Neurospora crassa OR74A: one gene and its partners. The protein of the gene in region 2 interacts with the protein of the main gene of each other region in a pairwise test. Links are inferred from orthologs where the notes say so. Each region holds a gene or a part of one and is shown on either strand. Other genes may lie near its edges.

Region 1 (4,579 bases), on a different chromosome or scaffold from region 2:
GCACGTTCGGATCCTGGATCGATCCAGGCTTGGGGCTCCAATCTGCCAGCACACCACACTTCTTACAAGTCCTCAGCTGCTCATTACCCTTAAAGGCTTCCACGGCCGCCTTGATCTGCGTTCCCAAATCGGTGCAGTGGAAGCTCGCCTCGTGCACAATCTCCTTGCAGTTCTGGCAGTACCACCTCATGCGGTCGATGGTGTCGGCGGGACGCTTCTGTTCCAGCACGATACCGACCGTGTCGGCGAACCGCACCGGGTTGTGCGGGGTGTTGCCTGGCAGGAGGAACATCTCGCCCTCGCGGATGATTATATCTCTGAAGTTTCCGTCGTCGACCACCTTGAGCATCATGGCGCCCTTGTACTGGTAGAACCACTCGGGGGTTTGGTTGATGTGGTAATCCGTGCGGGCGTTGGGGCCACCAACGATCTGTGGGGGGGTTTTAGTCACGACTGGAATCCGCATTACCTGCAGTCGAGTTGCTACTTACCATGACGGTGAAATCATCATTGTAAACGCAGTAGTTGTTGATGGGCGGCTTCAGAAGGTGAGAGTTTTCTTCGAGCCTGTGTAAGCTGTGAGCGCAAGCTGATACGCTGAGGGGTTACATGTGGCTGATGGTGATGCATACCATTTCGGCAGGTTTACTGGTGAGGAAAGCATTGTTTAAGACCTGATTTGTGTTTGTGGGAACTATGACTCGGTCTTCTTCTTTCTTTTACCGTTCTTTGCTCCCAAAATCAACCTCCAAGATCCTCAAGTTATGACGCTGACGATGGGATGATTCAAACTGCGAACAGCTGATTGCTTTGTCAGCTCATCCCGGCACTCTAACGATATAGGCAGGGGCCGGGAAAAACGCATACCCACTGCAGTTAACTGTACTCGAACTTTCAGTGTTGACTGTAAAATGGGCTTGTACAAGACCATACATAGAAGTACAAATCCAGAAATGTCTACTACGCACTAGGTAATGGAAGTTTCGAACAACATGGAGCGCTGGAAACCACGAACTAAATTCCGGCAGGTACAGTATCCCAACAGTAGTAGTACTACCCCACTTGTCTGTTTGATGCCCCGCCAGATGATGCCTGCTGTCAGACGGAGGGGATACCACGGCCTGCCAAACGAACCCTAGACAAGTCTGTTTCCCCCTCAGGGAGTGTTGTTGTTCGGATGCCAGACCCCTGTTTATCTTGCTCAAACTAGCTTGATAGCGATCTCGCGAGATTCGTACCAGCTGCAGGGCGTTGTAGGCGTATTCTCAGGTGCTTCATGTCTTCTCTGGCCGTGAATTGAACACAACGTGCGAAACTCCAGCTCCGACCTCGAGGTTCCACCAACGGGACACTTCAGTTCCTCTTTCATCTGATGGGACACGAGGCGCTCACTCACAGCCACCTCTACCTTATAAGTCGAGATCCCCGATCAACAACTCCGCCATCTCACTCAACTCCCTTCTTTTCTCTCCTATAGTCGAAGCAACAAACATCCTTAAGGAGCAGCAAAACGAACCATGGATCACTCCGGCCACGACCACAGCACCCACATGGACCACTCCGGCCACGGCGACATGCACTCGGGTCATCCTGGGATGGGCGAAGGAGCGCCGAGGTGTAGCATGAACATGCTCTTCACCTGGAATACGGAGAACCTCTGCATCGTCTTCCGCCAATGGCACATCCACTCGACCTTCAGTCTCGTAGTCTCCCTTCTCGCCATCGTCGCGTTGGCGGCCGGATACGAGGCACTTCGCGAGGGCATTAGACAGTATGAGGCATGGACTAATAAGAGGGTGGAGACTACGCCTCGTAAGTTGTTCATCCTCACTTCCCCTTTTTGTGTCTCGGGCCCTTTGAAAACCATTTTGCTTCTCTTTAATCCGATATTGCTATTTTTGCCTTGGCTTGCCATATCATCTCATTGCATCTCAAAATGTCACAACGTTACGTGGCATTAGACACACAAACACCGAATGCCTACTACATCTACCATGCGTTTGGTGTCGTATCGTTTTGCTAAGATGACCACTTATCTGTCTTGGAGACCCTCGAGAACAGTATCGCGATGATGATGATGATGATGACGTTGAACAACAACTTGAAGATGAAGAACGTCTTGCTGAGACTACCATGCCGTGGTTACTAGGGCAAAATGTGGCTGCAGTCACCAAGCGGGCCCACGCCATCAAGTCGGTCTTGTATGGGATCCAGAACTTTTATGCGTTCATGATCATGTAAGAGATTTCCCCCCCTTCCACCGTTTGCTTTCCAATTCTGTTTCCAAGCTTGAATGTTTTCTATTTCTGACCATACACACACACACACACAAAAGGCTCATCTTCATGACGTACAATGGCTGGGTCATGCTGGCTTGCTCTTTGGGAGCTGCGTTGGGATACTTCGTTTTTGGGTCCCGTACTACTGCTACCAAGGAAACTGCTTGCCATTAGGTGTCATTGACGTGCTCATGAGTGCGCAATTCTCAAACGTCAGGAGGAAAGCATATAGCTTGAGGGCGAGGTGTTATGGCCACTTTGCATAACGGCTGGTGAGAAGAGCGGCCAGAAGGGTCCGAAAAGTGCCATCAGAGTGTTTCGACATGTAATCGGCGGTTGATACGATGGGACGTATGGGGTATGTATGTATATCCCCATAAAATAGGGTCTAGTTGACAGTTTTCTTTACCGTATTATATATTATAATAACTGACGAATGGATGTGCATGGCTTTACACCGATGAAGGGGGAAAAAAAGGAGAAGAAAAAAAAAACCAAAAAAATAAGGGTTGCGCCAGCCGCGAATCGAACGCGGGGCCCATCGATGGCAACGATGGATTTTACCACTAAACCACTGGCGCTTTGTGGTGTTGATATTAAATTTTATGCATAACTTGTGCCTATAGATCAACAACAAGACCTCCAACACCCTGTTCACCCACATTGAACTACATTACCTCCAGGTCCTCCTCTATCTACATCTTTGACGCCTCGCTAGCCTTCTTCGCCGCCTCACTCGCCTTCTTTAGATCCTCCTGCGTAAACACACTCTCCTTCTTCGTCTTCTCCCCCAACATGCCCAACTTATCCAACCCCATGATCATCCTCTCGTCTCCAAAATGGCTGTTATGCTCGAACTCGGGCTCCTCCCCATATGCCACCGTCGCCGCGTCCACCAATATCCTTGCCGTCATCCCCCAAACCTTGTATCGCTCGCTTTCCTCCTCGTCCCCACGGGCGAGCGCTGCTGTCGGTGGCGGCAAGTCCTCGTCGTCTTCCGGGTTGATGATTGCGCTTTGGTTTGACGACTTTTCTTCGGCGGCCTTTAGCTGCTTCCGTGACCCCGGCTTGGCTACCTGCTGGTTGTTGACGGGCACGTAGAAGAAGTGCAACCGCCACCGCTCCTCGTGCCAGTTCGTCCAGCTGCCCTCGTACCACTTGCCTGGCGGCGGCTTTTCTTGCGAGCCGTCCTCGTCGCTTTTCGGAACTTCATCATGGGCTCGCAAAAAGTTGTGGAAGGGCGCGGAGAAGACGGCGGCGACTTCCTTGGCATTGAGGCGCGGAATCAGGGATTCGTCTGCCGCTGGCGCGACCTTGTCATCGGCGTGCAAAAAGGCAACACAGGGACGGACGACTAGCTCGGTGCGCGCGAGGTTCATGGGCAGATAGCAGAGGTGTTCGATGCGGAAGGGCGAGGGGAGCTTGCTGTCGTCCATGGGAAGACCGATTTCTTCCCAGGCTTCGCGGCGGGCGATTTGATCTGTATGAAACAGTCCAAAATTAGTGGTCTTTCCGTGGTCTCGTTACTGGTAGTTTATGTGAACGTGATAGCGGGACTTCATACATGGTGTTTCCTCTACACTATCTGCCTTCCCGCCGGGTAGCGCGGCATGCCCAGAGAAGCTGCGCATGCTCGCGGCGCGCATGGTGATGACGACACGGAGATCACCGCGCTTGTCTGCGAAAAGGAGCAACAACACCGCGGCGCGGCGACTGATTGGTAGGCGGTCCCATAGCGGAAAGGGAGGGGGCTTGAAGGCTCTTAATCGGGCAATGGCAGCCTGCAAGGTAGAATTGTGATAAGTGACTTGAACGTTTTCATAGAAAATGATGATCTATTTAAACTCGGAAGTCATGCAAAGGGCTAACCCAATTTCGACATCAGGGCACCACGCAAGCCCGGGCCGGAGCCGGAGTGCGAAACCGGACACACGGCGCCGGAGCCAAGCGGTCTTCCACGGGAGCAAGCAACCGGCACGGAGTCAAGAAAAGTGAGGTATAAGTACTAACCGCCGAGGCTGGACTAAGCGGTTTCATGGTCGAAGCATCCCAATAATGGGACGCCTCGCTGTCGATAGCCTTCTCTTCCTCCTGATCCTTTGCGCTTTCCCCGTCTTCTTTATTACTCTCCTCCCGTCCCTCCGTTGGCAGTTCACCCGTTCTTGTTGACGTCGGAAATACGATCTCGGGATCCTGTACACCCTGAATACTCTGAGCAATGGTCTGGAACTCTTCGCGGTCTTGAGGGAAGTCGCCGGTGGTGTGTGCGCCCACTTCGTTCGAAGCGCTCATGGTATCAA
Region 2 (6,299 bases):
AGGATGAAAACACGAGAATACTACGCTGGCGATTATTAAGGTAAACAGACGAGTGCCACCCACTTAGTAAGTTGCAGGAGAAACGGCGCTTTTGTTTACTATGGATTTACCTGCGTTCGGCATACATTTGACCGAGCGGACAAATTCGAGGACTGGTTATGGATTCAAGTCGTCGTCATCCATGGGCGGTGCCTCCGAGGTGGGAGGGAGTAAAGGAGGAGGAGAATGAAGACAAGGGGTTGTCCTGAGGGAAAACCCGCATGTTGTGCTTGCGGAAAATCGACTGATGTGTTCTTTCCCCTCCTCCTGCAATGTTCTTCCTCCAAATCTTTGCCCTGTGATCTTGTTTGGTCCTGGTGTTGAGTTGTCAATCCCGTCTTGTCGTCGAGCAGCTTGAAGTCAAAAGTGGGGCAGTTGCACGGTGAAACTTCACCTTGGGTTCACCGGACAGTGCCCACCGAATTTTTCTCCTTTAATAACATCAGCACGAATTACCAAGCGCTTTCGCAACAGACTTCAGAGCTTTGAAACAACATCTTGAGCTTGGCCTATTTTAAACGTCCCGACTTTTCGTCCTCTCATTTCTACTTCCACAACCACCAACCAACCAATCATCCTTACAAAGAGATCCTTCAACATGTCTGACAGCAAGCAAATGAGCCAGCAAGAGGTTTCTGCCGAGTTCACTTCCTACTACCTCCAGCGAGCAACCAAGGAGTTTGCCGAAGACCTGGACAAGGTGCGCACGGCTGACGACTTCAAAAACGATGCGATCCACCTGCTCGTGAACGCGCTACAGCAGGGTACTGCGCTTTTCTCTCCCGAAGAGCAGAGGAGGATAGTCGAGTCTGGGGCGGAGAGGAAGTGATGAGGACGAGCGACGCAAGTTTTGAAGGGAAGGGATCACGGAGGTTCAGGGGAGTTGGAGGTTATTTCTTGCGTGATTGCAGGAAGATCCGAAGATGGGAGGTCGTCTCTCGATAGCGGGCATCGAGCCGAGCAGTCCATCGGTTCAAGACGAGAACTGAAGGCTTCGACGGACGTAATCTTTGAGAGGCCACGCGAATCCTTTCCACGTCAACCTGTCTATCGACATGACACGACTGGGGAGAGACTGATTGGTTGAAGCAGGAGCTGTTCACCCACACGATCACCCGCAGTCGGTTCTACGACCATAGTTGGAGAGTAGAGTCAGGCGCAAACCTCAAGGCCGCGGAAGATAGGCATGGAATACCCGTAAAAGCATAGAACATGCGACCAAAGAAGAATGATATGCTGCACAAGATTGATAACCTGATAAATGAAGTCAACCGGTTTTAAATATGGCTGGCTGTTGTACAATTTCTATCCAACAGAGGCCGTTCATACTGAAACGCGCATTCCGATGCCTGGCTGTTTCTAGCGTTATCATTGTAACTGTAAGTAATCATAACCATGACAACATGGCCGAGTGGTTAAGGCGACAGACTTGAATACCGCCTTTATTCAGCTATCTGTTGGGTTCGCCCGCGTAGGTTCGAACCCTACTGTTGTCGAATTTTTTCGCCTTTTGAACCATTTTTTTCCTCCTTCTGTTGGCTTCAACATGTAATTTCACTGATGTATGTGAGATAGATCTCGTTTTCAATTTATTTTTTGGGCTTTGATTGCTAGCTAGACCCTGGACATACAAAAAAATGCCCCTTGGTTTTCCAAAGATAAAGACCCAAAAAGTCTATCGATGGGAACACCTTCCACACGTAGACACCAACCTGCCAAAAGAGACACTGCAGTTTACGCGGTGATAATGTACTTCAAAACCAGAAGGCACGGCGGAACTGAGAGTGGAATACTGAATGGTAACTGACACTCCCGCCTCGACTCTCTACATTGCTCAATGTATAGATATGTACCTATGTACTTTATAATAGTATGTTTACCCTATCCATGTCCCTCCCGTACGGGTGGTTCGGGTTGAAGCTCTGCCGAAGTACGGTGCTTCAGATACACCCAGTATTACTTCCAGTCTGTGTACAAATCAACACTGCTAGCTGGGCAGGTCATTTGATGTCTCAAGTTCAATACCTTTGAAAGGAAGAATAATTTGGACTGGATCACTGCATAAGATTATGGACGGTGAAGAACTGCCGGTTATGGTAGACCCCTCCACTCCACTTCCGACCAGCGACTTATCCAACACGGACGGGGCCAGGGCTGACCAACGCTCCCCACGGCCGCGACGGAACCCCGAGAGCCCGCCTGTCAGCTTTAGTCAACGCGACTACACAAGCTTGGGGTCGGACCTTACTCCTGACCGACATTCGACGAGGGGCCGATTTTTTTTTTTGATTTTTTTTTTTTTTCTCTGAAAACGTTGGATCATCATCTACCCAGGTTACGTACCTTGCAGCCATAAGACCGATCAGGAAGCACTAAACGTCGGTGCTTGCGACAAGGCGGTCATACATACCTGCTACGCCCACGACCCCCCCTCCGCCTTCCTCGTTCGACAGGACAACAACGCCAATTGTCCATTATCCATCAACGGCCCGAGTCCTCGAGACGCTGTATGACATTCAGAGACGATCGGGTTCGCATACAACGGGCGCTCGCAAGTTTAACATTGGACGTGGAGACACCCTCTCCTCCATCGACGGCGCATCTTATCTGGGTTCTTCCTGAACGCAGACCGACCGCGGACCAATCTACCACCCGGATCACGACCTCACACACACACACGAATTCGCATAATGGCAGCCCAGACACTGCCCGCCTCCGGGGCTGCCGTGACGTTCAATACCCAGCGCACGCGTGCATATCTCCTTAAGCTGCCACTTTTCACAAGAGCCACGGTGCTAATCATTGTCCTGACATGGGTTCTGACGTTGGTCGGCAAGTCATGGAACTGGGACGTCAAGACGTGGGGCGCGTTGATACCGGACGAGATTGGTATTGCGACATGTAGGTTCTATTCGGTTTTTGTTCTTCGGTATGGTCATGCCAGGGAGTGGCCAAAGTGGAGGACCTCGCTGAAGGGAATGGGATGGGAGGGAATCCTCAATTGGACGCAGAGCACGCGCTGGTAGCGGACACCGCAGATACCAGACAGCAGTCCTGCGGGATGGCAGGAGGCTTCACATTCTGAAATGGGTCATGCCTCAACGCTGGCCTGTGACATGAGACCTGCCCGAGCACACCTGCTAACACTCTTGGCAACAGTATATCGCATCAACACATTCCCCTTCATCCACCTAAACATCTTCCACACAATACTCAACATTGTCGCCTTTACACCTCTTCTCGAGCGGTTCGAGCATGAACATGGTACTTTAACCTCTGTGGCGCTCTTCTTTGGCCGTAAGACACCCCCCTCTCATCTCCTTGATATTACCCGGGGCCACAACTCACACGTTTGTTCTCCTCTAGCATTCGCAACGATACCGGGCCTCATCTACGTCTTCGTTGAAAGGTTCATCCTTCACGCCAACACGCCAGTCATGGGAGCCAGCATGTGGGTGTTCCTGCTGCTGGGCATGGAAGCTATTCGCACCTACAAGACCAACCCCTACTTCACCATCAGCACCTACAACATTCCTACGTGGATCACTCCTTTGTTGTTGGTGGTGGTTACTGCTGCGTTGCTGCCGAGTTCGAGCTTCCTCGGGCACTTGGCCGGTCTGCTTGTCGGTTATGGGTGTACGTGTTTCAATCCCAACTGCTCCCCTACCTACGTTCATGTTGAGGGGGGGGAAAGCTATATTTGCTAACATGGATGATAAACAGTCGGCCTAGGATACCTCAAGTTCCTCGCCCCTCCTGAGTGGGCGTTGCGGTTCATCGAAGGAAAGCTCAACCTCTTGGGTAGACTGCCTCACTACGTCAGCGTGGATCAAAAGACTTTTGGCAGATTCGGTGTCCTCCCTTCCTCTGCCTCATCAGCCGAGGCTGGCATTCCGTTTTCCGGGGTCTCTGGTGGCCAGCGATTGGGACCTTGAAAGAAATACGGGTTCCCGAAATATGGCGTACATTACGTGCATGAGTAGAAGAGCATGGAAGTTTGAATTGGTGCATACGAGGCATGCGTGTCATGAATAATGGATATAGAAAGGAATTTTACTGTTAATGTATGATGCTGTACGACTAAATACAGGGCCGGGGGAAAATGGAGATGGTAGTTGCATGGCGTTCTCTGGATATGAATCGAATTTCCTCTTGGGATTTGAAGCCTGCAAGTCGAGTCTTATTAGATTTGATGAGTGCCAATCATTCAGCTTGAACACGTCCATGGATGATGAGTACGGGGTCTCAATGGTCTTCAAAGTTTCGTAGCGTCATAAAGAAGCTCGAGTCATTATGGCAAAGGTCGCGAGTTATCCAGATGTAAGAAATAATATGTTATCACTTTGCTTTTCCAACCCTTTTCACGCTTACAACAAAGAAATTTCTATTCATCAGTATACTTATTCCCCTGTACGGTAGTAGCGCCGTCCCAAATAATGGCCCAAAAATTCCCTTCCTATCCCCAATTTCAACCTCCTTCCCCCCCCAATGATCAGCCTAGCCTAGCCCACAGCCTCAATCAAGCAGCAGCAGCAGTAGCAGCACCCTCCTTTTCCTTCCACCCCAACTCCCTCAACGTCCAACCCTTCCCCTCTGGCGTCTCAGCCCCCGCCCCCTCCTCCGGCTTCACCTCAAAATTAGCATAGCAATAAAACTCATTGCTCAACCCCCTCGCGTGCTTAGGCTCAAACGTAGTAGTCCTCAGGCCGTAGCTCTTATACAGCTTCTCCGTGACCAGCGTCTCCATGCGCTCGCCCGTGCAAGCAATGATTCTGGGCTTTTCGCCCTTCTCCTCCGATTTGAGCATCCACCTTACCGTCAACGCAGCCTTGGTCTGGCAATCCTCGCTCAAAAAGGGAGGATCCACAATGACGCGGTCAAAGGCGCCCTTGAGGTGGCTTGGAAGCTTGAGCGGCTGGGCGAAATCGTAAAAGACGAATTCGTCAGCAAAGACGGCGAAGCGGTTGTCGTGCTCGAGTAAGGTGAGTTTGGGCTTGGGCTTGTCTTTGTAGGCGTCGCTGTTCAAAAGGTTCTTGAGCTGAACGAAGACGGAGGGGGCGGAGACGACGGCGATGGAGGTGGTTGGAGTGGCGCCGGCGAGGAGTTGTTTGGCGAGAAAGGTAGCTGTTTCATCGGAGTACTGTTGAGTGATTCTCATGTCAGTTGGTTCGTCTTCGTCGGTTGAACGTCTCTTTATAAGCCATGTGTGAAAAAAAATTAAATGAAAATGGTATCACTCACCCAGAACTGGCTTTCATTCCAATCCTCGGTGAAAGCATCCATAGACAGCTTGACGTTCAAAGCATGCCTCTCCTCAGCCTCGGCCTGGAGCTTAGCAAACTGCTCAGCACGGGCATCGCGCTCGGCGTAGAAAGATTTGAGGGCATCGAGGGTTGAGGTAGAGAGTTCGCTTCAGATAGTCAGTATACTGTGGATTACGATTATTAAAATAAGTTTCTGGTAGTGAGGCATTACTCACAGGTCACTCTCATCATCAGAGAATTTGTCGATGATGCACGCCATTTTGGACCCCAAGTCTAATCACAGTATGGCTCGATTCGATATGGTTCGGGTACAAGTAGGAGCGAATCGATTATAATCGGTTGTCTAAGTGGGCAGCGAGTGACTGTAAGGTTGTGAGTGTTGGGGAATGGTGTGCTCTTGGCACTAACAGTCAAAGTTTAACGGGAGTGTGCAGCATCGTTCGGAAAAAATTTGTGGATGCATTGATGCCATTTCCCTTATCCGTTCCCCTTTTTGGTCGCATCATACCAGTAAACACAACCCCGTCGAGTTGAAGGCTTCAATTTCACCCCAGATCGTTCAAACGCTTGCGCAAATCTCTTGATTGCTCTAATTCTCACCACAGCATCCAGTCTGGACGTTCTGTGTTCCGTCGACTCACCAAATGCTCTACGGTGGATTTCTACAATCTACATGCATCCCTGTGCAACCCCAAAGATACTCACAGCATGTGAATGTACTCCCTGTCCTCCCTCCTCTCCTTTTCGGTCGCTGGCGGAAGGTCGTAGTAGGCATTGCTGCGATAACTTTGCTGCATGGGAATCAGTCATCATACTTTTGCACTCGAATGTGATGTGGGCAACTTACCAAGTAATGGTAGGTGAAGTTGGCGATATCTGCAGGCTCGATGCCGAGGTCCTTGAAGGTCTTGGCCTCCGGATCGATGACCTGGTCGTGGAACTCACGCTCAATCTCATCGGCAGACATGATGGGCCACCAGAGGGCCTTGTTCAGCA
Region 3 (4,336 bases), on a different chromosome or scaffold from region 2:
CTCTTTAATGCGTATTGTTCTACTTTGCGAGAATCTGGCCTCTTGAGATGGGTAATTCATTTGAGCAACATTTCTTGCGAAGGGTTTGATGGTCTTGTGAGGCGAGACTTGTGAACAGTGTTTCTTTGGAGGTGTTCAGTGATTAAGAGCATTATTGAAGTAGACTTGGCGAAAACAAGGTACCAAAATAGACGGTTATTCAGGCCGTGGGGCTTCTGGTGGAATGTGAGATGGTATCAGGACTGTGTTGGGATCTCTTCGGGCCCAATGGGAGACGGCACGGGCTTTGGCTTCGGTTGATGGTCGGGGAGAAGAAAGTGAGAGGGCCGAGGATCCGGGGATATCAATCGGATACAGTCGAGTCTAGTGATGCTGAGTTCTCGGGCTTTGAAGACTGGATAGCTTCATGTAGACTCCGAGCAGCTGGCGATAAAATCACCCTGAGTATGACCAGCATTGATATCTCCTTGAATCATGACTAGGATACCTAGTCAATAGCCGGTAACTACCGAGATCCCGAGGTTTGCTCATGTTTGCAGTTTGGTCGACTATTTACCTGGACCCTGAACTACTGGTCAAGCAACATGATGCGCAGTGTTTACCGAGCCGATGACTGTGGGTTCTTGTCAGCTTATCTGTACCTATTTTGTGTCTTGTTCCTCTTTTTTCTTCTTCTGTTCTCCTTCTTCCTTTTCTAACCTTTTCTCTCTGTTGCTTTAACACTTTGCTCATTTCTCTCACATCTCGCCAAGACAACCTCTTCTGTTTCCTTCATCGCAAACATGTGTTGGCTGCGATGGGTGCAACACCGACCAGTGTCTCTGGACAATCCATTGATCAATCATCATCCTTCACGCCACCAATTTTATTCCCCCAGATTCGCTGCGACATGTGCATCTGAGTCTCATTAAGTCTCGGCCCCCAAAATCTCAAGTTTCGACTCATTAGTGCTCACTCCATCTGCGAGTCAGACCGAGCTGCCTACCATTTGGAAGCAGTCAGAAGTGCTCAATTGGGACATGTCATTCTCCAGTGGTGGTGTTGATTGGCGGCGATGAAGCCGAGGTTCCTGGCGATCGGATCGCAATCCCAGTCGCTGGAACCAGATCCGGTAATACGCCCGTCTGCCCAGCCTTCCGCTTTTAGCGGGTGCTAGCGGGTTGGTGATGGTGTAGGTATCCCAGCACAACGTCATCAGGACCATTTTTTTTTTCTTTTCTTCTTTCCGATGCTGGTCGGGTGTAATGCCAATCATCTGATGTGCGATGTGATGCGATGGACAGTCAAAAGTCTCCGGCAGTTGATACTTAACATCAATCCCTCCCTCAATCACTTCCAAGGATCATACTTGTGTGTTTGCTGACGGGACAAGACGGACAAAATGGCGACCACCACAGATCACCCCAAGATAACGCTCTACTGGTATGGATGCCTATAGTACTAGGTTCCCGCAGCGAGGTGTGCGATAATACATCACTAACAATTTTCACTACACAGGCTCAATGAGTCCCGCGCACAGCGCATGGTCTGGCTCCTCGAGGAGCTCGGCGTCCCGTACGACGTCAAGATCTTCCATCGCGGCAAGGACATGCTCGCGCCCGCCGAGCTGGAAAAGGTCCATCCGCTAGGCAAATCGCCCGTTGTCACGGTCCAGCCTACTGAGCCCGGCGCCAAGGAGATAGTCCTGGCCGAGAGTCCCTTCATTGCCCAGTACTTGTGCGAACACTTTGGCAAGGACACCACTCTGGTTCCCAACAAGTACAAGGATGGACAAGAAGGAAAGCTGGGCGGCGAGACGGAGGAGTGGATGAGATGGCAGCATTTGCTGTATTATTCCGAGGGCAGCTTGATGCCGCCTTTGCTTGTGGCCCTGATTCTTTCCCGTGAGTTTTCCGTCTTTGTCTCTGTGTATGTACTCTTTCAGGACACCACCGGGATTCTAACAAACATCGGTTGCTTGCAGTCATGTCCGGCCCCAAAGTCCCCTTCTTCATCCGCCCCATCACCGCCACCGTCGCCGGCAGGGTGAACAACTTCTTCGTCGTTCCCAACATTGAGAAGCACTGCGCCTTTATCCAGCAGCTACTGGAGACATCGCCCAACGGCGGCAAGTACGTCTGCGGCGACAAGTTGACGGCGGCGGATATCCTGATTAGCTTTCCGCTGTTGATGGTGCCGAGGGCGGAGGTTCTCGCAGGGGAGGCTGCAAAGGGGAAATTGAAGGAAAAGTTTCCCAAGGTGTTTGACTATGTGGCAAGGTTGAAGGAGGAGGAAGGGTATAAGAGGGCGGAGAAGAAGATTGCGGACTTGGAGGCCGAGGCGAAGCAGTGAGTGGACCAGATTCCGGAGCATGGCCGGTAATAAGTGGATCTCGGGGGCATTTGATCCAATGTGGGGCCGCTCCGGATGCTTGTCCGGATCATCGATCGGAGGTGGAGTTCGCGGCACCGCTCGCTCATATGAGGATCATTGATTATATTCTCGACGGTTTATATTTAATCCTGGTCACGAGCAATGCGACCGGTGGTGGCTCTGGCGTGTGTGGCCGGGTCTCCGCAACGGGTCCGGGGCAATGCGCAGCATGCGGCCTTTCTGTGACCTTTTCGCACAGCATTCAAGGTTTATCGAATATTCTTTTCTTTCCTCAGTTGTGAAGCAGCCTCGCCCAATGTTACTCCTAACTCTATATGCTTGGCTCAATGTTGTGAATGGCAAAAAGAATGATGAGTGGTTGCGCTGTGTTGAACCCTAACCCGCTGTGCAAACCCTACCATACGATTTGCCGATCTCGCGCTCTTGACGAGGGTCGTTCCTTCTCCCAAACAACATCAATGAATGCAGCGGTAATAATCAGCTCACGACGACAACGGAATCGCTCTTTCCTTTCCACGAACAAAAGACAGAATCGAGAGGGCGTGAATTCTCCCTGAGAAAGCCCATTTCCCAGTGTCGAATTTTCGATGCCCTGACCATTCTTTTATTTGTGCAAAGTTCAGTTCCTTGCCAATTCTGCGACCCAACGAACTGCGCCCTCGCAAAGCTCACCACACTTCACTCTTTGGCTTTACGATGCACAGCCGGCCTTTTTTTTTCACTTTGATCTAAGATGCCTGGGAAATTTGCTTTTTGACAATCATTTTACGAGGCTATCAATTCCACAGCCAGACTCGTCAAGGGACGAATGACTGTCCGACATGGTACGAAACCCTCCCGCGGAATACTTCCAGCATCCCACGGTAACAATATTGACCACCAAGAGCCGTCCAACAGTCACCAAATCACAGCCGCCAACCGCATTTGTCGTGATGCTCCTGCATCTCGATTACGGCAATGGTCTGTTTCTTCTAAATAAGGCCGTCCAGAGTGGCCTCTCGAGGCCGGCGGCCGGCGTGCAAGTCCCGACGCAATGGTCGGGTCGCCATAACGGGCCTGCGGCGCAGCGCAGCATGCTACCAATTTCCTCCACTAATCAACGTCCATGATTCGCAAGGCTGCCTTCCCAACTCGACGGATAATCAAGAGAAGCTTCTCCTAGTTTGCCTCATTCATTTCACTAATTGTGCTTCAGGCCCGAATGATCGTCGCGTCCCGTGTCCCTCACCGACCCCCCGGTCCTCGGTGTTACTGTTAGCCTGAGGTGCCTCGCTCTAGGGCTCCGACCTTCGGCCTCCGACCACCGTACAACGACCTATCGTCAAACAGCACTAAATACCTACTGATACCAAAACACCTTACGAAATAGTCTTGAGGTTTTACGATGCCGACCTGCAGTTAGTGTTTACATGTCCACGGCTCAGCGGTCCGAATCGCTACTCTGTTACAAGTCCTTCGAGGCACAGCAGCCGTCCAACGCCGCAGTCATCAGGCGATACCCGCATGCCAAACATGGGCACAGATACCGGCCTCAAGCGCCCGAGACAATGGTCAAACGCTCGTTGGCCACCGCTTTTCGTGATACTTTGGAGGGAGATGGGGAAGGTTCACGGCATCCGGTAGGGCAGATAAGTGTATCTGAAACACTCTTGGTGGGTTGCCTGGTACGTATCACCTTGGTGGACGAGCTTGCATGTATCATGATATGGGCGTCCTATTGGGGGCAGGTCACTCATTGAGAGAAGGTGTGTGATGGGCTCCCAAGGCGACTACAATATGGAGCTAGTATCACAAAAAGTGCCAACACCCGTCTGTCACTACCCATACCTTGTTTATGTGAGGCTTCATCAAGTGATACAGGGAGTCCTTTCTGCGCACTAACGGAAAAGTGCTGGAGATTATGCAACAAAAGTTTGACAAGACCTTGCTGCAGAAAAGGCAGTTCTTTCGGTTACTCGTAACC

Evidence for each region. The genes of interacting proteins can lie anywhere in the genome.
Region 1: the proteins of NCU02371 (region 2) and tcu-2 interact in a protein complementation assay, tested with the Saccharomyces cerevisiae proteins (2 studies listed by BioGRID). The link is inferred for Neurospora crassa OR74A from reciprocal best matches to the Saccharomyces cerevisiae genes RBD2 and CTR2.
Region 3: the proteins of NCU02371 (region 2) and NCU05706 interact in a protein complementation assay, tested with the Saccharomyces cerevisiae proteins (2 studies listed by BioGRID). The link is inferred for Neurospora crassa OR74A from reciprocal best matches to the Saccharomyces cerevisiae genes RBD2 and GTT1.

The regions. Positions count from the first base shown.
Region 1 is NC_026501.1:5,167,528-5,172,106, reverse strand, and holds tcu-2 (TCU-2), read left to right. Parts: upstream 1-1,155; 5' UTR 1,156-1,517; coding exon 1,518-1,812; intron 1,813-2,047; coding exon 2,048-2,237; intron 2,238-2,335; coding exon 2,336-2,453; 3' UTR 2,454-2,924; downstream 2,925-4,579. Other genes in the region: NCU03282 (3-hydroxyanthranilate 3,4-dioxygenase), read right to left, coding at 1-430, 492-567, 633-664; NCU03280 (NUDIX domain-containing protein), read right to left, coding at 2,975-3,759, 3,844-4,060, 4,290-4,571. UniProt on the Saccharomyces cerevisiae protein: Provides bioavailable copper via mobilization of vacuolar copper stores and export to the cytoplasm.
Region 2 is NC_026507.1:2,719,972-2,726,270, reverse strand, and holds NCU02371 (rhomboid protein 2), read left to right. Parts: upstream 1-2,186; 5' UTR 2,187-2,729; coding exon 2,730-2,940; intron 2,941-3,198; coding exon 3,199-3,336; intron 3,337-3,405; coding exon 3,406-3,675; intron 3,676-3,762; coding exon 3,763-3,974; 3' UTR 3,975-4,385; downstream 4,386-6,299. Other genes in the region: NCU02370 (hypothetical protein), read left to right, coding at 638-868; NCU02372 (N(6)-adenine-specific DNA methyltransferase 2), read right to left, coding at 4,559-5,179, 5,281-5,449, 5,519-5,562; nuo40 (NADH-ubiquinone oxidoreductase 40 kDa subunit), read right to left, coding at 6,005-6,094, 6,151-6,299. UniProt on the Saccharomyces cerevisiae protein: Probable rhomboid-type serine protease that catalyzes intramembrane proteolysis.
Region 3 is NC_026503.1:579,816-584,151, reverse strand, and holds NCU05706 (glutathione S-transferase), read left to right. Parts: upstream 1-1,237; 5' UTR 1,238-1,381; coding exon 1,382-1,422; intron 1,423-1,497; coding exon 1,498-1,883; intron 1,884-1,963; coding exon 1,964-2,331; 3' UTR 2,332-2,681; downstream 2,682-4,336.